3 linked regions of the Lytechinus pictus genome follow. The protein of the gene in region 3 interacts with the protein of the main gene of each other region in a biochemical or structural test. Links are inferred from orthologs where the notes say so. Each region holds a gene or a part of one and is shown on either strand. Other genes may lie near its edges.

Region 1 (7,175 bases), on a different chromosome or scaffold from region 3:
TAATTATGTTATGTTATTTTACATTAAAATTTAAAAAAATCCTAACTTTATGAAACATAATTTGCTCAGGGCTTATGTATTCATTGTTCCTGATGCTCGCGTTGTCTGTTTAACGAGATATATAATCCCGTTATACTAAAACCTCCCGTTTTCAAGTCAGTATACACCAAATAATATTTGTATTGTTTTATGTAGTGACAAATATGCTTCTTTTTCATGACTACTTAAAGTGATTGCCCCATTTTAAGGTCTAACTATAAAACATTTCCTGTCCGTGTTTGCGTTCGCATTAGTAGATTAGTGAGATATGTCTGCTCTTCATGAATTCCTAAAATCAGTCCTTAAAATGTCCCTTTTTCTGATCTGAATATCAAAAATTTTCAGCTATCGCTTGCATATTTTGGTAAGTGAAATACGCATGGTCTTGAATTCCTACAAACAAGCCTTAAAATGCTCCTCTTCAGGTCTGAATTTCCTAAATTTTCAGCTCGCGCTTTACGCTCGCAATATATGACAAGTGAGATGCGTATAATAATCATGATTACAATGACTACAAAAAGTGTTTCTCATGTGTTTAGATGTAATTCTAAGAAATCAGCATGCGCTTGGCATTCGCATTAGATGACTATGGTGAGATAAGTGTTCTCTTCATGGATTCCTTTAAAAAATAGTCCTTAAAATATCGCTGTTTGGGGTCAATATATACAAAAAAAAATTAAGCTCGCACTTCGCGCTCTTATCATTTGGTTAGTGAAATACGCATAGTATTCGTGAATTCCTACTAACAAGCCTTTAAAATGTCCCTCTTCAGGTCTGAATTTCCTAGATTTTCAGCTCGCCCTTCGCGCTCGCAATATTTGGTCAGTAAGATGCGTATGTTAATCATGATTACAATGCCTACAAGTGCTTCATGTGTTTAGATGTATAAAATTCTAACAAAATCAGATAAAATGGCACTCGTATTAGATGACTATGGTCAGATATGTATACTCTTAATGGATTCTTAAAATATAGTCCTTAAAATGTCCCTCTTTGGGGTCAATATATACAAAACTTTCAGCCCTCACTTCGCGCTCGCATTGTTTGTTTAGCGAGACAGGTATACGTATCATGATTACAAAAATGTATTTATAATGTCCCTTTAAAGGTCTGAATATAAAAAAATTTCAGCTCGCGCTTCGCGCTCGCATTATGTGATCAGTGAAATATATATCCATTTAATGGCACTGTCTTTAGAATTTCTCTATTAGGTCAGTATACCTGACAACTGAGCGCGCTTCGCGCACTCAATAAGTGACTAAAAACATTTTTGGTACCCCCCATGCCGTGACCCACGGTACGCCACTGTTTCATACGTTCTCCATCGAGCATCCGTCCACTGTGATTTCATTGTCCATTGTCTGGAGCGGATGTAAACGGATGGAGCCACCTCGAAATTGGCTTGTCCGCTGTATCCGTTAGCCTATGGATACGTTTTGTGTCCGTCGGCAAGTGGGACCAGACCTTTAGATGACTATGTAAGCTAGCTCTTCATTCATTTCTAAAGAATAGTCCTTAAAAGGTCCTTGTTTGGGGTCAATATATGTAAAATTTCAGCTCGCGCTTCGCACTCACATTGTTTATTTAGTGAGACAGATATACATATGATTACATAAATCGGCTATTATAATGTCCCTTTCTTAGGTCCGAATATATAAAAAAAAAATCAGCTCGCGCTTCGCTCGCCTCAGTGAGATACAAATCATTTTAATTGCACAGTCCTTAAAACGTCTCTATGAGGTCATATAGCTGGCTGTTGAACGCGCTCAGCGCGCCCACTAAGTGCCCAAAAAATCCAGGGGGCTGTTTCATAAAGCTGTTCGTAAGTTAAGAGTGACCGTAAGAACGACTGGTGAACCTTTCTTACGTGCTAAACCATCGCCAATGAATATGCAATTTGCCACTAGAAAGGATCACCAATCGTTCTTAAAGTCGCTCTTAACTTACGAACAGCTTTATGAAACACCCACCAGGTCCCCCATAGGCCCCATGCCGTGACCCAATGTTATGAAACAGGGCACTAGACAATATAATTATCCATTAACGTATGAGCCTGGAACGGAAATCTGAGGGAGAGGGGGCAAATCTTTTCCCCAGGACACCATTGAAGGTCAAGTCCACCCAATAAAACTGTTGATTAGAAATGATAGAGAAAAGTTAAACAAGCATAATGCTTAAAATTTCATCAAAATCGGATCTAAAATAAGAAAGTTATTATATTTTTAAGTTTCGCTTATTTTTCATAAAATAGTTATATGCACAACTCAGTGATATGCACATGAGAGAGTTGGTGATGTCCCTCACTCACTATTTCTTTTGTTTTTATTGTTTGAAATACAATATTTCAATTTTTACAGATTTGTCAACAATTAAGGACCAACCTGACTTAATCATAAACTGTTGAAATAATTGTCATCACACATGGTCAGGGAGGAATAAGATTTGTTTCACATGCAATGAGGAGAAAATAAGAATTTTTATATTTCATGTGATAAAATACAAAAGAGGTAGTGAGTGGGTGACATCATCGGTCTGCTCATTAGCATACCGACCATGATGTGCATATAATTGTTTTGCGAAATTAAGAGAAATTTTAATATGTCATATTCTTATCTTACATCCGATTTTGATTTTTTTTTAATCGATGTTATAAGCTTGTATGATATTTCTCCTTTTATTCAAGTCACCTTTTTATTGGGGTGGACTTGTCTTTAAGCAAAAATATCACCACCTGCACAAACAACAAAGTGCTATAAAACGCCAACTTTGAGAATAAAAAAAAAATGTATCAATAGAGATCCACTCTCCTTCGCATATTGACTAAGATGAACATCTTTCTGTTATGAATATCATAATGAAGTGGAATGGATTGGTTAGCGAGAGAACAATTAAGCAAAGGAATTATTTTGTTTTTTATCAAACTATTTTATACAACATTCTCTCTTTTCATTATCTTCCTCTTCTTTCTCATTTTATACCTTCTCGTTTTCTTGCCCCTCTCTTCTTTCGCTTTTTTTTCTCCCGTGTCATTTGGAATTGGAGTTCCATACCTCTTCCTTTTCTTTTTTTCTTTCACTTCCTTTCCTCTTCTTTCTTTCTATTTTCCTCTCCTTTTCTTTCCTTTCCTCCCTTTTTGTCTTCCTCTCCCTTTTATCCTTTCCATTTTCCTATTCATTCTTCTCCCCTTTAATTTCCCATTCCGTTTCCTCTTTTTCTTTCTTTCTTTCTTTCTTTCTTTCTTTCTTTCTTTCTTTCTTTCTTTCTTTCTTTCTTTCTTTCTTTCTTTCTTTCTTTCTTTCTTTCTTTCTTTCTTTCTTTCTTTCTTTCTTTCTTTCTTTCTTTCTTTCTTTCTTTCTTTCTTTCTTTCTTTCTTTCTTTCTTTCTTTCTTTCTTTCTTTCTTTCTTTGCTTCCTTCCTTCCTTCCTTCCTTCCTACCTTCCTTCCTTCCTTCCTTCCTTCCTACCTTCCTACCTTCCTTCCTTCCTTCCTTTCTTTCTTTCTTTGCTTCCTCTTTTTCATTTCCTTCACTAACTTTCGGTGGTCTTGTAGATTTCCCCGCTGAAATATTTTTGGGCCGGGGGTTGAGGGACCCGCCCCTGCCCAAATGTTTGGCACAGATGGTGTTTGAAAATATATGACAATATATTGGGCATGATGGTAGATGAAATATTATTATAGAATAACTTGATGTAAAATTTTAATGTTCAGTACGAAGAAAAAATGGAAATATAGATGATCAATAGAGGAATGAATACAATTTTTTTTTATTCACGATAAATCATGATTTTCCTCACCCGTAGCCATGGGGTGGCAATAATGATTAATATCGATAATTTCATTAAAGCAAGAAACAAAAATAAAGATGATCACATTCACATATGCATTAATATAAAGCACATGTATGTTCATTTTATAATGAATATGTCAATGGCGTAATACGCCCGCGCAGTGGGTTAATTTTATTATTAAAATTATTATTACTTTTCATTTTTTTTTTCCAATTCTATTTGTGTGGTTAACTTCTCCTTCGTTGCGCATGTTCGACGAAATTTAAAGTCGAAGTCTGAGTCTGACTGAAAGTCAAAGTTCGTAAGTGGGGTTAAATTTTATATTGTGCAAGAACATTTTGTTATATTTAACTTTTGCAGTCATATATATTAACGATGGTCTAATCTTCCAGCTTGAGTACACTACCGCTATTATTACCACTCTGTTTCTCATCGTTCTGGCCGGGCGTTTTGGGCTTCTGTCTGGCCACGGCTACGGCTGCCTCGGTAACCCAGGCCGCTCCGGCCCGCGAAGCGGGGCGGAGCCCGAGATCAGGGGCCTGTTGCATGAAAGGGTCTTTCGTAGAACCATTCTACGTAAGAACGAGATATCGCTCAACTGTTTCACAAAGCCGATTTGGGCGATACGAAGAATGGTCCTTGGAAAGACACCTCCAGACATGTCCTACGTAGGCATGATCTTCTTTGCACACCGCCCGCCACCGTCGGCATTGAGAGAAAATGCATTTACGCCAAAATTACGGCAAGCCACACTGACATATCACCTCTAAACATTTTTTTTGGTTGCACTCTGATGCATTTTATCTGGGATGGTGCCAAGTTATGTTTTATATGGGGGCTATAGTTGTCATCAATTTCAGGTCGTCTTTTTGCACGGCAGGACGACCAAAAACGGATGTCATTTTAACTTCTCCGGCCGGGGTATGGTAGGGGGTCCTAAAGCTGCGCGGGTCCTAAAGCTACGCAGCACTCATCGCGCATGCAGTTTTTATGGCAAATGCCCGGCGGCGCGGGGCAAATGCGCACTCTGTGTGTGGAACTGTGACTGCAGAGTGACGAACGATTCCTATTCAATTTTTTCTTCAGAGGCTGCACTGCAGTAAAATCTCTAAATGCAGAGAAACCAACAACTGTTTGGAATTTTGGAGTTATATTCGCTTAAATTTCATTTTATCCTATAATAATATGAATGTATTTTAGAAATTGAGGCACAAGAAATACTATTTTTTTGCATGATAAATCGAGTGCGTAGCTTTAGGACCCCTTCTACATCGGGTGGCGAAATCAAGAGGTGTTCGGAAAACTCGGCGGGATTTTCGTATTAGTGAGTTTTGCGATATTTTCTTCTTGGTTAATGATCTTTAGAATGTTTGCCACAAATTAGTGAAAGATATTTGTTGAAATACTAAAATTGGGGTAGTTTTTATTGTTTGAAAACAAAGTGCGTAGCTTTAGGTCCCCCCATCATACATGTATTATTCCCGGGGGTAATGTATAGGGCCAAATATTTTTAAAAATAATATGTTTTCTTCTATTCTCCCTCCGTCTTATCCCCACCCCTTTTCTATTAAAAAAATAAACTTGAAATACTTGAAATGGGCGGCACTATATCTCTTTAGCCGACCCCAGTCATGCTTTCTCATTAAAGATAAACAACAAATTTCTTTAAAAGAAATTATGTAAGGTAAAAAACGTGTTCAATAACATTCAGCAAAAAAAAACCAAGACAAACAAAACTAAGATGTTAAACATGCTAAATCATTTATTTATTTTATTTTATTTTCATTATAATTATTTTTTTTTGCTGAGATTTATTTTAATCAATGAAAATTAATTGTTGGATTTGAAACAGTGAAACAAAACAAAAAACCTGCAGCTAATATTGAATTTAAGATACAGATTAAGCCTATAGCTTACGAATCCATCACAATCATTACAAATGAAGATAAGTTCATTAAAGAAAAGATTATGGAAAGTCCATACGAAGAGGCGCATTTTAAATCTTTTATGTTATTTCTTAAACCTTCCATAAATTAAGTGATCATCTTTAAATATGACCAGCGTTTATGATCGTTGTCATATTTAGCATTATTTCTGTAAAAGTATTTGTCCATTGCGGATTGATTCACACCTTTTTCTATGTTTTAATTATTATTGCAAAGTACTACTTTATCCACTTGGACATGTTTGCAGCAATTTTCATATTTTCATTTTCTTCTGTTACTCATCATGCAACTGAGGTATGTTTATACTCTAAATACTCACATTTGTATTTCTTGCGTTATATCTGACAAATAAAATAAATAAATTAGATTTTTCACACGCAGCCTCTCATATTTTCCTTTTTAGTCTCATACAATCAGACACTGTTGATTTTGTTTACTCCATTCAAACCCTATATTTACCTCAACAAATAACATATTAACGCATAATTTGCAAAATTATCATTATATACAAGTATTCTATAAAAATACAGAATATTGAACTCATAAATGTCGAAATTACTTAGTTAAATCAATTTTTATGTCGGACAAGGCCCAAGGGTCTCTTTCGTTGAAATATCAATAAAAGGTGTCTCTAAAAAGACACCGTGTTCTAAATAAGGGAAATAATGAAAATTTCGATTTTATTTAGTTATGTTTGTGAATCTTTAAAGTTTTTTCTCTTTTAACCTCATAAAGTAAGCTCCATACATCAATTCTACTATCAGTAATAAATAAAACATTATTTGATCTCCTTTTATTGAAATATCGGATTTTATGTAAAGTCGTCATTCAGAAATAAAAGGTTCAGGTGACGATGAAGACTAAATATTTTCCCGATACTATCGATATCAAACGATGTCGCGGACTTGGAAGACAAAATTGCCTTCGTGAAACGGAAAGCGCTGATTTGTCGCCAATCTTCCTATCTCGGAAGAATGGTCCTAGGACGTTCCTACGTATCGCTCATCTCGTCATGCAACAGGCCCCTGGACTCGTCCGTGTAATTAGGCAGCGCGTACTCTCCAAAATGGGGTAGAATGGGGTCGTAATAGCACCCCAAATAAAAAATGAAAAAACAAATTATGCACTTACTTCGATTGTATGTATTTGACTTTGGCAACATTTGAGAGGTATTTTACAGTGTGAGTGTCATTATAAAAATAATTAATGATGATGACAAGCAAGCAAGTCCAGTTTTTTGAGAAGTTCGTTATTTCTGTCTTTTTTCTGGACCGGCACCTTCACTGTCATTGTCAAGGAGCTAAAGTAAAGGGCCTGGATTTGGTCAAGAATTGCAGGGCTAACTGTTGGAGAGAGTATTTTGTAAATTATCAAAAAAATACAACTAAACAAAGGTTCCCAC
Region 2 (7,106 bases), on a different chromosome or scaffold from region 3:
AAGCTTCTTGTGAAATATCATGAGAAAAAAAATTGCACTGACTTGAAGATAAAGGGGGAAGGGAAATACAAGAGGGAAAAGAATACAAAATATACATGAGATTCTGATTTCACCATTGATCCCTAAACTTTGATAATAAGTCATTGTTTTTGTTATTTCAATGTTGTTATTTTCCCTATAAAGAGATCTACATCAAAGACCTTACTTTAGCTTCTTACCAATCTTTTCTCCATTCACAAAGGTGCCATTTGAGCTCCTATCTTCAATAAAGTAGAAACTGCAATTATCGTTTGATTCCTGGAAAACACAAGAAGAATTATTAATGCAACTTTTGATATCAGGACTGCCATAATGAAAATGTTTTGTTTTACAATTTTAAACTGAAACTTTTTTTTTTCAAATGAACTTTTAACATCCTGTGTGATGGTATCTGAATGACTGAATCTATAATAACAATTGATAGTCAGTTTATTTCATGTTGAATGAAAATACCTTCTAAAAACATTGTGGACATTTAGCTGAGAAGAAATATTTTCATAAATTAATTATGTGTTACTTAGTCCATACTAAAATGGAAGAGCACCATGACATTGAGCATTTACAAGTTTAGTTGATAAATCCCATTCCCATGACATTACCCAATCATAACAATGAAGAATGATTTTTTTTAGGTATAAGCCTACTGCCTACATCTTGTAACTCCAGTAGATGACAGGCATTGAGGGTGGTCACCTACATTGTATTTCCTCACCTTAAATATCCTGAAATGTGTTTTGCTAAGTGTCTGGTAGCAGGGATTTCTGCTTATCTCGGGGCTGTTGTAACAGATGTCACAAGAAGGATCCCTTCCAAAGAGGTATTCTTCCTTTGGATCTAAGAAATCTACAATTTTCATTTAAAAAAGAGAGAATAAAATGAACAAAATGAAATATGGTTGCAGTCTTGCAGATTCAATTTATTGTCCTTTTACTGTACCATGGCCTGGATATTCAGTAAATATTATGTACAAAAGATGAAGGCGCGTTTGATGCTGATAGAAATGATAGCAACTCAACACCTATCACCAATAAATAATAATACACCTCCACCTACAACTCATAAAACTTTTCTTAATCACATCTGTTGTGGATAGCTTAATTACCACTTGAGAGTCATACAGATCATACTATAAAATAGAACTTAAATATGGGGAAGTTCACCCTGGTGAGTTTTTTTTTCAATAAGCAGATAAATATTAGTAAACATGCGACTAAAATCCACAAAGAATAAGAGTTGTGACTTTTTTTTTTGGGGGGGGGGAGGCCATGATGTGGCCAATACAAATTCAATAAATTGCAATTTTCAAGGATTCATGCCTACTGAAAAAAAATATTGAAATTTGTCTAATATACTATAATACTGAATATTCAGTTATAACTATTCTGGTTTCTAATTATTCTATTTATTCTATGAAAGTCTAATCATATCAGAATCATTTGTTGATCATCAACAAAGCGTTTAAAAAGGATTGAAAACCTTGCTTCTTAAAAAAAGCTTCAACTGAAAATACTATTGAATTTCAAATGTTCATTAGCCATTACTTAGAATAAGTAAAAATTGATGTTTTCGATTTGTCCATCAGCACCTAGCACAGTAGATGCATGTGTGAACAATTTGTTAGAGTTAAGCCAACTGTTTCAAATCGAGTTTGGATCAGATCATTCAGATGTGTACAACACAGCGAAAAGCTGAGCCTGAGGTGACTCGGCTCTGCCTATTTCATTCATTTTTCAACAAATATAAAAATCTTTAAAGTATTTAAACTACCACTTCAGGGTGCTACATAACTTTTTAGAAGCACTTTCCCAGTCGGGCAAGTAAATTTTTAAATAGTTGGAATATACTTGCCCAAAAATGTATTTCACTTGCCCCAAAAAATCCTTGAAAAAAAGTTTTACCTCTTCAAATGAAAGCATTGTGGATTTATAAACCATTGAACTTCTAACTGATGTAGACCTTTCCAAAGTGATTTTATCTTACCTGCTACATGTGACCAAAATTAGGGTCGATATCATATAAAAAATGTGGACCCTAATTTTCCACTGTGAGAAATTGGCTTTCCCAGTTTGGGCAAGTAGTTTTGGTCTTAACTTCAAAACACTTGCCCGACTCTAACTTTTACTTGCCCCGGGCAATAGGGCAAGTACAGATTTTTGCTGACACTGTTTGTAAGTGTTTAGAACTTAGTTTAGTGACTGATCTCTTGATTTTATAGCCTAACTTACGATGAAAGTATGGTATTGTATTTGTAGGGGCTAGTGACAATGACCTGCACAACTAGTATTAAATTATTACTAGTACTACATGTATATTGCCTTTATTCATTGGCAATACAAGTAAATTCTAATATTTAGGATTAGAGGGTTTATATTAGTATTAGAACTAGAAGTCAGACCTACCAACACTCTTAAAACATTTTCCAATAGGATACAGACGACCCCAAACAACCACCTTCTCCTCCACAAAATCAAAATCTCCTTCAGCAACCTCCTGCGTTGGAATAGTCTCCATACTCGACAAAGTTCCCCCGGATGACAGACTTGCACTCGCACTGCTCGATGTGGTGTTGGGCTCTACGGAACTCGAGCTCGAGCCGTTCAAGCTCATGTCGCACACACATGCAGTAGTAAACACGGGAACGCCGGGCCGAGTGCGCTACGTAAGTGCTCAGCGGAAACTCGAGGCTAACCTCCGCCACTCTGACCCGGCAGATGTACCGTGACGTAGGTATCCAATCCGGCGGCACGAAATACTGCGGCGCGAGATTCAGGAACACTGCCACTGGACTATTTCCTTGTTGAGTCCATCTTTGAATTAGCTCATTGGGTAAGAAGATGACATCAACAATCCAATAGTTTCTGCAAATTCAATGAACTTCAAAACAACTTCTTTCGTTTGATTTTGAATTCTGCAAGCAAAATCCAAGTAATTGTCAGTTCTTTGGGGTAAAAATCCAAAACACACCGTATCGCAGGCCTAGTTCTAATCAGCTGACAAACCACGTGGCGATCGCGCGTTTGCGGTCAACGACCTTAGGGTATATGTATCCGGATGATATGCGGATCCAGGATTTCGATCAGCTAGGGGATTCCCAATTATTGATCATGATCATTGACCCCGGGGGCCTCATTGACAGGCGGTACGTCCAGAGAAAAGATAAAAGTCATGGCATTTCCCAGAATATCGATTCGATTTTGTCATATCTCTGAGCAGACGCAGATCCAGGGGCACGTGCCCCCTATGCCCACCCCCCCCCCCTTTTTGAGAAGCAAAATTAGAATTTGTAATGTAAAAATGCCCCCTCTTTTGAAATAGAAGACCTTTTTTTTTTTTTTGCTTGTCAAAATTTTTCGGGTTCTAAACATCCTTAATTTGTGGTTGAAAACCTTTATTTTTTTTTTGGGGGGGGGGGGCTTGTCAAAATTTTCCTTCGAAAAATTTGCCCCCCCCCCTTTGGAAAATCCTGGATCCGCCCCTGTCTCTGGATGTTAGAAAAATAAAGGAGCTAAGACAGTGTTCAGAAATATACTGCTTCCCTAAGATTTCAGAAAGGTGGCCCAGGGGCAAGAGAGTTTACGAACTTCGGGGCGCGGCTGCGGGAGACGTTTCCACCCACATTTTTGGTCTGACAACTTTATTTCATTCTGATTGGCGGAGAAGCACATGCAGTTCCTTTCTGTAGGAAAGCATAGGCCTACTTTGTCGTATTCCGATGGTCATTTCATAAACGACAACCCCCCCCCCCCCCCCCCCTCTGCTGTAGCTTTCACCTACAACAAAGACATTGGGAAACATTTTGTATATACAAAAATATATTTAACCTCTGCCTTTTCCTTTTTAATAATATTTTTGTACATTTTTTAACCTCTACGGCCCTGCAATTTTTATCTCTGCCCCAGTCCCCCCCCCCCGTGTTCCCTCTGCTGTACGGATCCACATGCATGCGTCATGAAACCTAACACTAAAACCATGAAGGATATGGAAAAACATGTATAATAAGGCCTTCATGGTAGCCTACACTTATATGCCTATATGTAAAGGTCTATGAGTGTAGGTTCTCAGGGACTTTTTTTTAGAAGGGGCGTTGGGGTGTTGGGGGTCAATGGCATATGAGCCAAACAAATTTGAGGGTCCATAAATGGCATGTGGAGCAAAATAAATTTCTAAAAAAGCAGCAAGTGAGCAAAATTTTAGAACTTTTTTACACAAATATCTAATTTTGTGATGGATTTCGACATAATGCTAAAAAATATTATTATATTCCACCCCCTTTCCTTTTTTTTTTCTTGGCTGTGAAACTTGTGGGGGAGGTTCCATGGTCCCTTAAGCCCCCCCTCCTTACATCAGTTGGGTAGGGTAGTCCTTGAGACTGAAGTCTTATAAGTACAAGCTATATCTTTATTTTCACAAGAAGAATAGGTAATTCATAAGAACTATTTAATCAGTAATACGAGCGTGAAGCACGAGATGAAATTTTTAATAATAATAATATTAGGCATTTATATACGCCATCAATCTAGAAATAATCTATTCCGAGCCGCATTGTTTAATATTATTATTACCCCCACTTTATTTTAGCTCGAGCTGCCTTTCAGCGCTAATTGCATTCAAGAAATTAATCCTATATACCGGATACCCATTCACCTCACCTGGGTTGAGTGCAGCACAATGGGGAAAATTGTTTTGGAAAAATAGAAAACTAAACAAATTTTGATGGAAAATAAGAAAGAAAAACTGATGGTTATCATGCATTTTCATATCACTACCATCATGGGCGGAAATCCCAGAGGAGACAGGGGAAGCCCCCACCCCCCCCCCCCACTTTATGATATGTTTTATGCCGGAAAAATACTTCATTCAAAAACGAAATAATACATGTATCCTTGAATCTTTAATATAATATCATTTTCTGAATATTATGTCAAAATCTATAACAAAATTAGATTTTTGTTATAAAACTATTGAAATTTTTGCTCGCTCGCCTAGCTCTCTTGCAACTTTTATAAATTTTACCCAATATGTGCCATATCTAGCCCCCAAAAAGCACTCCTCTTGAAAAAAAACATATTATGATCATCGATCATCTTCAACTTCCTCCTTATCATCATAATCATACTTGCCATATAATCAGTATGATATTATTCTGTAAATTATCGCGGGATAATACAGACCACCCCTTTTATTATATACATATTTTTATTTGATAGCATTTATTCCATTCATCATAAAAACCAGAACAAAACAAGGTACATGCAAAGTTAACATATATTACAATTTATGTCAATGAAATAATTCAATGATACAAATCTGGAAAACATTTGAAAAAAAGAGTATATATAAATGAATGGGGAGGCAACTAGAAAGGCAAAGCCTTATTAGTGCTGCCACCTTTACAAAACTGGAAACTGAATATGTAATGTAATAAAAATGTTAATACTGAATACCAGATATAAACATTGAGCATAAAAAGGGGGAAATACAAATTTTGACACAATGACAAAATATATAGACATAGATGTATATCAACAATAATTACTATAAAAACGAAAGAAGAAAAAACACCTGAATATACGTTATTAGAATATTTGCTTAGAAGTTGGGTTTTATATCTCCTTTTAAAAACATTAAATGATGGACTAGGTTTAACAGAAAATTGTAATTATTCCAGATAATTGGTTCTTTGCTAAAGAAGTGCTTTTTTTAGTTAGGTGGAAGTCTGAAGATCCTTGCGTATTATAATAATGAACATCTATGACCCAGTAGCCACTGATCTGTATCTAGTCTATATAGTGTAAAGATTAGTGGATCAAACTGGAATTCTATGTAAAACTGAGGCAAATTTTCATGTCGGTCATAACTGAAAGATACCATACCGAAAACTTGAATAACAATGCACAAAAGAAAATGATTGGGACTACATAACAAGCTCGCTGTAGCCTTCCGAAGACGCGACCGAAAGACCGAAGAAGACAATGGAAGTGTAAGTATTTGTTAGGGAATATGATAACAAACATCTCATTTTGTTATGCTGTATGCACGAAAGGTGATTTTTATTCTACTTATTTAGTCAAATTTATTTGGCGTGTTTGGAAAAGCAGAGTCGGACGTCGGTGACGTGCATGTGTGACTGTGGCCATGGTGCCGTGGTTGTGTCTGTGAGTGAGTGTGAGTGAGTGAGTCTCACTTGCACTTGTCTTACCCCTTTCATAAACCCAATCATGCGGCTAATAGCAGCATAATTTGGTTGTAAAATCGGAGGAGGACCAGAGTTATCCGCTTCATTTTGATGCTGCAATTATCCGCATAATAGCGGCATCGGGACCAGATTTTGACTTTATGAACGCATGTCCAAAGTACAATTACATGACATACCGTTGGCGTTATAGATTATACGGATAATTGCCATGCCCATGGCATGATGGTGCGGTCACAACTCACAAGGTCACCCTTTTCCAACACAACTGCATCGGAGGGGGTGTGTGCGGTTGCCATGACGATTATCCCCCTTTTTCAGGACGGGCGCTCGTAAAAATAGTGCGGATTATTTTCGGAGTTTGTGAACGCAATTTTTATTGAATTATCCGCATTACTCTTAGCCTTAGGCTTAGGCGGCTAATTAGAGGATGGGTTTATGAATATGAAAGGGGTATCAGACTCAGATCAGTGAGTCTGACTGATGTGACGTTAACCCGGTCCCGGGGAGCTACGGCCCGCTTCACGGGCCGGAGCCCTGGGGGCCGTTTCATCAAGCTGTTCGGAAGTTAAGAGCGACTTTAAGAATGACTGGTGAACCTTTCTTACGCGCTTAACCATCACCAATGAATATACCATTTTCCACAAGAAAGGATCACCAGTCGTTCTTTTAAAGTCGCTCTTATTGTCTTAACTTAACTTATGAACAGCTTTATGGAACACAGTGACACACCCGGACTCGTCCATGTAATTAGCCAGGAGGCTCTAAGTCCTAGAGGAGTAGAGAGCTAAAATCATTTACTAACGTATGCTTACTCTCCAAGGAGCCAGGGATTCCATCCCATTCATCTGCGTGTACCGCCAAAAAACCTGAA
Region 3 (7,849 bases):
GAGCAAAATTCCATAAAATGTCGGGCATTTTTCCAAGTGATATTAGTACACTGTCTGACATTGTTATGCCTTTTTGTGTGTGTTATCAAGCAGAATTATCGGTTTTCAGCTAAGATTTCATGGTTTCACAAAGACGAGTTGATTTCATTATACTAGATCTATGATAATATGGGGGTTAGTAATAGTAACCTTTTATTTTAAAGGCTTTCTCTTGAAATAGTTTTTGCTGCAATTAGTTTCTTTTACTTTTAAAAAGAAGTTTTGTTTGAGCATGAAAATAGATGTTTTCTATTTTCTTATTTGGCCTTGATACATGTATATAGAAGATTAAACAAATGATTTTCAAGAATTTCAATTTAAACCACTGAATACATTTAGCAAACCTTGGGTTGTGGACTTATTAATATTGATATTAATTGAATTTCCCTTAGACAGCGCCTCATCAAACAAATGCAGTTGGGGTCAGGGAGAGTGGGAGAGACAAAGGGAGAGAGGGTAGAGAAAGAATGGGAGCTGGAGAGAGGGGGGATAGGAAAGGGAAGGAAAAGAAAAGGGATGGGGTAAACAATTCCTGTTTCACCTGCTTCGACAACCTGCTTCCTGTTTCGTTTTTATTTATTTGATTTGATTTATTGATTTCCATTTCACAATTGTACATAATATGATAAACATAACAAGGTCGAAAATACTACAAGACAATATAATAACATAATCATAGATTAAAGGAACACAATTCAGTAAATAAAGTTATCTCAGATGACATTTGTGTTTAAAAGTAAAACGGAGGGTCTTGCCAAAAAAAGCAAAGCTAGTACAAAAGGCAAGCCCCTAACTTAGTTTCATTACAAAATTACAATAAAGAAATATTGGGTCGTAATAATATACAGAAATTTTCTTTAAAAATAAATACAATTTTTGTGCACTTTACATAAACGCAACTGATGGATCGTGTGAGAAAATATATTGTTTTACAATACTAGAGAGGGGGGATGAGGGGGAGAAGACAGGAAAGACAGAGGAGTGCAGTGTACACTAAGTAGAAAGAAAGAAGGCAGGCAGCAGGAGCAGGTACTTTCACTAATTGCAATTTTAAGAAGAAAAAAAATAAAACAAATAATATACATGTCTATATGAGCGCATATAATACACAAAAGCCGAGTATAATTGAAATAGTTATTCAGCTTGACCTGTTTGCAACGAGTATTCCAGAATTAACTTTTTTTTCAGTTTGCATTTAAAAATATTTACATTAGGGGATTCTTTGAAATCTTGCGGCAGAGAGTTCCAATTAGGCAGGCCCGGAGAAGGGGAGAAGACAAATGAATTCTTTGCTAAAGGAAAGTGATAATATTGTCGTTGCCTTGTTGGGTAGCAGTGTACGGATGCATTTTCACGGAACATAGAGAAAATCGCGGGGAGATCGTCCTTGTTTCATTTGAACATAAATTGACTAAGTTCGAAAATATATATGTCACTTACTTTGAGAATGTTATTTTCAAAAAATAAGATATCAGTATGTGATTTAAAGTGTGTTTGAAAAATTATTCTTAGAGCTTTTTTCTGGAGAAGTAATATTCTATTTAGTTGTGTTTGTATTGCACATCCCCAGGCAATTATTCCATAATTAATATATGGTAGAATAAGGGTGTAGTATAATGTTAAGTGCGGGAAGGGAGAACATGTTTGAGTTTATCAATAATTCCAATGTTTCTAGAAATTGTTTTACCTATATACTATCAATATGAGGCTTCCATGATAATTTGTTGTCAATAAGGACACCCAAGAATCTGGTAGTGGAAATATTATTAAGAACGATATCAAAGAAAATACTGTCTGGTAGAGTATTGATTTTTATTGATTTTATTACTGAAAAGCATGCAGTTTGTCTTCTGGTGATTAAGTGAAAGTTTGTTGGCCTTGATCCAATCTGTAACATTTGTTAGTTCAAAATTTACGATTCTAACGAGTTGGTTAATATCATCATGGGAAAAGAAAATATTGGAGTCGTCAGCAAAAAGTATAAACCGTTTAAACAATCATGTTTAATTTATTGAAGATTAGATATTGAAAATTAAACTTTGTTGCTTAAGATTTAAACACTTGTTTAAACTGTTTAAACAATTACTGTAAGCTTCATATAGTAAACAGCGTTGTGCAATTTTTTTTTACTGTGTACGCCAGGATATTATTACCTTGGTTTTAGCCCCGCAGCCTTTTACAGCGCGATGGCATTTCAAGGAATAAATTTTTGCAAGGTACGTACCCATTTACATCACCTCGGTTGAGTGTAGCACAATGTGGATAAATTACTTGCCAAAGGAAATTACGCCATGGCTGGGATTCAAACGCACGACCCTCTGTTTCAAAGTCAGAATACGTTAATCCACATAAATATAGAGTGTATACAAGACATTTGTATTTACTGAATATAATACATTTGTACACTGTACATAAACAACACTGAAAAATGAGTGGATGCTTATGATGAAAGTCAAACATTGTAACCTGGCGCTTATAAACTATAATGTATGTATATATCATATGAAAGAAAAGTATAGTCTCTGTTTTCCATCGAGTTGCAAATTTTTGATTAATGATTATAATTCATAAAGTGTGATAATGCATATTTTTATACCTATTTGTGAACATTGAAGCGTAACTCACAATGCTTCAATGATCATGACCTATTTCTTATTTTTTCTGAGAGATGAGATGACATGCTTTCATTTCATATGAAATTCAAATCCTTTTCACCCGTTTTATTAATTTTGACAGGAAATGAAATATTAAAAATGAATCTGATTACACCCCTGTACAAAAGTCAATGGGACAACAGCAGACAGGGATCAATTCGTTTTATATCGTTTATGAAATCTGAAATATCGACTGGAATATTAAGAACTGTATATCAAATGGGATCAAATGAAAGCATATCATCTCATCTCTCGGAGGAAAAAAGGAAAAGGAAATATACCATGATCAATGAAGTGTTGCGTGCTATGCTTTAATAATCACAGCAAAGTCTAAAAATATACATTGTTGCATATTCATAATCATTCATGCATGACTGATCACTATTTTAAAGTAGTTGCAAAACAAAGGCCATACTTTCTTTTCCATTTTTATATTCATTTTGACAGGAAATGAAATTTGAAAAATTAATCTAATTACACCCATTTACAAAAGTCAATGAGGCAACAGCAGTTAGACATCAATTAATTAAATCGTTTACGAAATCTGTAAAACCGACTTAAATATAAAAAATTGTATACCAATTAAATGAAAGCATCTAATCTTTTGAAAAATAGGAAACTTCATAAAGCTTGCTCATACCCCAAGCATGCCCCAGCGACCATTTAAACTCAGGGGCCGCGGAACGGTTTTCAAAGTGGGGGGGGGGGGGGGCTGATGATGCAAAAAATACAATTGTGTGGTAATTTTTACGTTATTGTACACGTTTTTTTTTTTTAAGTGGGGGTTGAAGCCATCCAGCCCCCCCCCCCCCCCCCCCCCGTTTCTGCGTTCCCTGCGTTCTATTCAAAGTTCTCCTTCTCACCTACAAAACTCTCAATGGCCAATCCCCAAAATATCTTACAGATCTCATTTCCTTATACGCTCTAGTACCTCCTCAAGACCTCTCCGTTCATCGTCTACAATGCAGTTAACTCCTGGACCACGAACCTCTACAAAGTATGGTGACCGCGCTTTTTCTTCAATTGCCCCTTCCCTTTGGAATAAGCTCCAATTTTTTTAATGCCAAATCTGTGAATCAGTTTAAAACCCTACTCAAAACCTACCTGTTTAATAAATGATTCACAGTTGTGGGTCGGTCAATTGGAGGTGCACACCAGTTTTGATTTTTGATTATTAGTATAGTTGTATTAGCTGTGTCATTTTCCCCTGCCACATTTTTTTTTTATACCCAAGTACAAACCACAAACAGAACACAATGCACTTAGAAACACCAGTAGTAGGCGCCAAAATGTTGTGTATTATTATCATTATTATTCCGCGGCCCCTGAAACTAGCTAAAAAGAAGGGCGGGTGGGGGATCTTAGGTTCATTAGGTCTCAAAAATTAAAACTATGATCCAGAAAACTATAGTCTCGCATGAAACCTTTTCTATATGAAGCTGGATATTTTTTGTTTTGAAAATCGTTTTCAGATTAACTCAAAAGTGTAAACATTTTTTAGTGAAATTTTTCAGGAATTTATATTCTTGCAATGTGATATTGGAATTCATATTTTTCTTGAGACTAGCAGGGAACATAAAATTTGGTTCTTTAAAAAGAATATTGATTGTTATTAAAAATTCCTTTAGAATTCATTATCAAGCCAAATTGTGCACTATAACTTTTTTTCAGCTTATTTTAGAAATGTCCAAAGTTCGTAGACATTGATGGATCGGGGCGGGGGGGGGGGGGGCATTTCCGGCCCGCGTGCCCCCTGTGGTGCCCCCCTTGAGAGTTATAGTCATAATTTTTATAGTAAATATGTATTTTATACACAAGTGCGTCCCCCTCCCCCGCTTTTAGAGCCACATCCGAATATTTTTATTGGGAATTTGTCATTTTTTTAATTGGAATATTAAAACCTATTTATTTTTTTATTTATTTTATTTTGCTGTCAAATTATACGCGGGACAAATCGGTCTTCATTTTTTTAGAAAACTTTTTATTGGTCAAATTTTCCTTAGGGAAAATGTGCCCCCAACCTTTTGGGAAAATCTTGGATCTGCGCGCCCCCGACCGGTCTCGAGTTACATTTTTTTTTAATTTTTACTTTTGGACGTTTTAATTCGGCGACACTGTATTGTCGCAAGATTCAACGTAAAGAGCGGTAAAAATGCAAGAAGAAGTTTGGGATTTTCAGAGAGAAAAAGTGTAAGAATACGAAGTTTTACAAATCGCTTTGAATTGATGATAAAAGAGAAAATGATAGATAAGTAGATAGAATTTAGAAGAATAGGTGACACGGAGATTGGAAAATCTAATAATCTTATCCTAGTTTTGCGGTGCCTTTTTTGGTAGTCCCATCTTGTCAAATTCATGTCCAGTTTAACACAACAGAGAGAGAGAGAGAGAGAGCGCCCACGGGCACGGCCCACTCAGTCAAGGTTAGATTTACATGCCGCCGCATAGCTGTACTTATATTTTTCAACAAATTTGACCAGCAAGTCAATGATGTGAATGCCTACTTGCTCTTGTTATGAATCAATTTATACAAATAGATCTACAGGTCATACAGCACGGACATTTCTAAAAACGAAAAAAGTAAACTGGTTACTAATAGTCCTACAATTTTACAAACACTGACAAAACAAAAGAAAAAAGTCAAAATACAGACATCTTGATATTCTTTTTCCTTTTCCTACTCCTAGTCCTAGACCTCTATCTAACATGTCTAACGTTATAAACTAGGCTTATTGAAGAGTTGGGGATCACAGTTATCAGGGTAGGAAATACAATAATATAATTTCTTTCCCAACATTGTGGGGATTGCTAATTTAAACTTAAGTTAAAGCCTAAAGGAGCATTTTCTTTCATTTTAAGAGTTACATTTTTGTGCAACAAGTATTAGTAGTTATGCTGTGAAAGCATTTCTCATTACTCTGCTGTATGTAGAAAATCGGTTCTAAACTTCTTGAAAGTCCATCTTGAATGTTTGTGGTATATCTTTGATGGATATCTTTGAGGATGGTTGCCCCAAAGCCACTCACACGTATTGCGAGGTTAGGGAGGCAGTGTAGCTCAGTCGGTTAGAGCGCCTGTTCCGGAAAAGATCGTAGATCTCAACGTGCGTGGGTTCGAGTCCCGCAGCATGCCGGAAGACGTCTAACAAAAAAAACTGATGCTAGCGTTGTGTGTTAACGTGCCTCACCGCTGTGTTCAGTGCGGGTGTGAATGCAGTTGGAAAACACTCCGTCCATCGGAAAGGACGCAAATGTTGGTCCCGTGTATAGGAGAGTCACAACCTATGCACGTTAAAACCAATACACTATTCGTCAAAGAGTAGGGTGTTCACCCGGTGTATTGCACCTGCCGGTCCCCGGTACTACAATACTGCAAGAATCTTCAGGATTGAAGGAGGCAGTGTAGCTTGAAGAAGTGAAGAAGAAGTATTAGTATACTAACCTCGCACCACGAACCGCGTTTGGCAGTGGATTTCTAACTAGTGGGTCGCGCGTGCTGGGATCTCACTTCATGGGTCCACAACACACGACTTCTATGGCTTGATTTTTCTGTGCGTGGCGGCATGTAATGAACCCTTGGGTGCCCCAAAGCATTCAATTTGGGGGATTTTAGGGGCAACTTGGGATGTCATGAGGGCAAAATCTCACATCGCCCTCATGCATTTCCTACGCTGACAGGTACATGTATGGTTTCCATCATCAGGTATTTAAGATAAAAAAGAATTATTATTTTAAACTTTGTCCCTCTTGTTTCAGATAATGTGAAGAAAGATGGCTAGTTCTGTGCAACAGGATGGAGTGGCTCATCCTGTTCTAGAAGATTTGAAGAAAGAAATCAGCCAACTCGGTAGCATGCAAGTGTAAGTTTATGCTAACATTGATGTCACCAAGCACATTGTAATGATGGTAGGAATAGTCACACGAGGTTTTTCCACAAGTAGTTAGGGGAACAAAAACGAGTTAAGTTTTAGACATTATCAATATCAGGACATTTTCTTTGTGTGAAAATACATCCCTGTAGTGACAACACTGGTAAATGGGACTCAAAATCTCAGAGTCTACCATATTTTCCGGTGTATAAACAACACCTTTTTTCCCGCTTTTAATCTTGAAAAATTGGGTGCGGTTTATCCAAAGAAACAACAAAATTTCATAAGTAAAATGTTTCTTCGGTAGTTAGAGTTAGCAAGAAACCAAGAATTATATACAATATTTAATGTATAATTATTTGTTGGTTACTAAGATTGGAGAGTATATTTTGCGAAGTTTTCTTTGAAAAATCTTCTTTGTAAAGGTTGTTTTATATTATTTATTTAATTACTATCAATTTGATAATGTTTTCCTAAGAAAAACCTGATTGTTTTGTGATAAAAACTTTTTTTTCAGCTAAAAATGCATGGAAAATGCTCTTCAGTAGGCATGTAATCATAATCGATCGTAATCGTAATCGGTTATTTAAAAAGGCAATAAATAATGTCCTTCATTCTTTCTCTCAATATTTTAAAAAATATCCCTTTTTATACCATAATTTTGATATTAAAAAATGCCATTTTATGGTCTCCTTTTCCTTAAAAAAACCCTGGTTGTTTTGTAATGAAAACTTGTAATCGTAATCGGTTAGAAAGCAGGCAATAAATAATGTCCTCTATTCTTCATTTTTTCCCTCAGTTTCTCTCAACATTTTTTGTTCTTTTTCCCTTTTAATCTATAAGTTTGATATACAATACTGCTATTTCATGGTCTTTTTTTCTTTATTCTACAAAGAAATAATTTACATTCTTTGAAAAATAAAGTTAAAGAATGGAGTAACCATTTTTTAAAATACAAAAATTATTAAGATATCTTTTGATCTTTCATAGATTTATATTGAAATTGGCTAACCCAAAATAAAAAAATAAAAAATTTAAAAAATCGGCAAACCAAATTTGATATTATTTTGAAAATAATATCAAATTTGGTTTGCCGATTTTTAAAATTTGTTATTTTTTTAGTAATATCAAATTTGGTTTGCCGATTTTTTAAATTTGTTATTTTTTTAGTCTCTCGATTTTGGGGGTGCGGTTAATACACGGCTGCGGTTTATATTCCGAAAAGTATGGTAGTCATCAATTTCTCAACCTATCATAAGTATAATGTCTTGGACAACCCATATGAAAT

The links.
Region 1: of the proteins of serine/threonine-protein kinase ATR-like (region 3) and serine-protein kinase ATM-like, one has a biochemical effect on the other in vitro, tested with the Homo sapiens proteins (2 studies listed by BioGRID, with this or other methods). The link is inferred for Lytechinus pictus from reciprocal best matches to the Homo sapiens genes ATR and ATM.
Region 2: of the proteins of serine/threonine-protein kinase ATR-like (region 3) and serine/threonine-protein kinase Chk2-like, one has a biochemical effect on the other in vitro, tested with the Homo sapiens proteins (2 studies listed by BioGRID). The link is inferred for Lytechinus pictus from reciprocal best matches to the Homo sapiens genes ATR and CHEK2.

Annotation. Positions count from the first base shown.
Region 1 is NC_087248.1:3,339,680-3,346,854, reverse strand, and holds the start of serine-protein kinase ATM-like, read left to right. Parts: upstream 1-4,067; 5' UTR 4,068-4,128; intron 4,129-7,175.
Region 2 is NC_087246.1:31,249,671-31,256,776, forward strand, and holds the start of serine/threonine-protein kinase Chk2-like, read right to left. Parts: upstream 3,033-7,106; 5' UTR 2,647-3,032; coding exon 2,439-2,646; intron 883-2,438; coding exon 752-882; intron 298-751; coding exon 219-297; intron 1-218. Other genes in the region: DNA-directed RNA polymerase III subunit RPC9-like, read left to right, coding at 6,012-6,019. UniProt on the Homo sapiens protein: Serine/threonine-protein kinase which is required for checkpoint-mediated cell cycle arrest, activation of DNA repair and apoptosis in response to the presence of DNA double-strand breaks.
Region 3 is NW_026974140.1:6,100,108-6,107,956, forward strand, and holds the start of serine/threonine-protein kinase ATR-like, read left to right. Parts: upstream 1-4,797; 5' UTR 4,798-4,883; intron 4,884-6,448; 5' UTR 6,449-6,463; coding exon 6,464-6,552; intron 6,553-7,849. UniProt on the Homo sapiens protein: Serine/threonine protein kinase which activates checkpoint signaling upon genotoxic stresses such as ionizing radiation (IR), ultraviolet light (UV), or DNA replication stalling, thereby acting as a DNA damage sensor.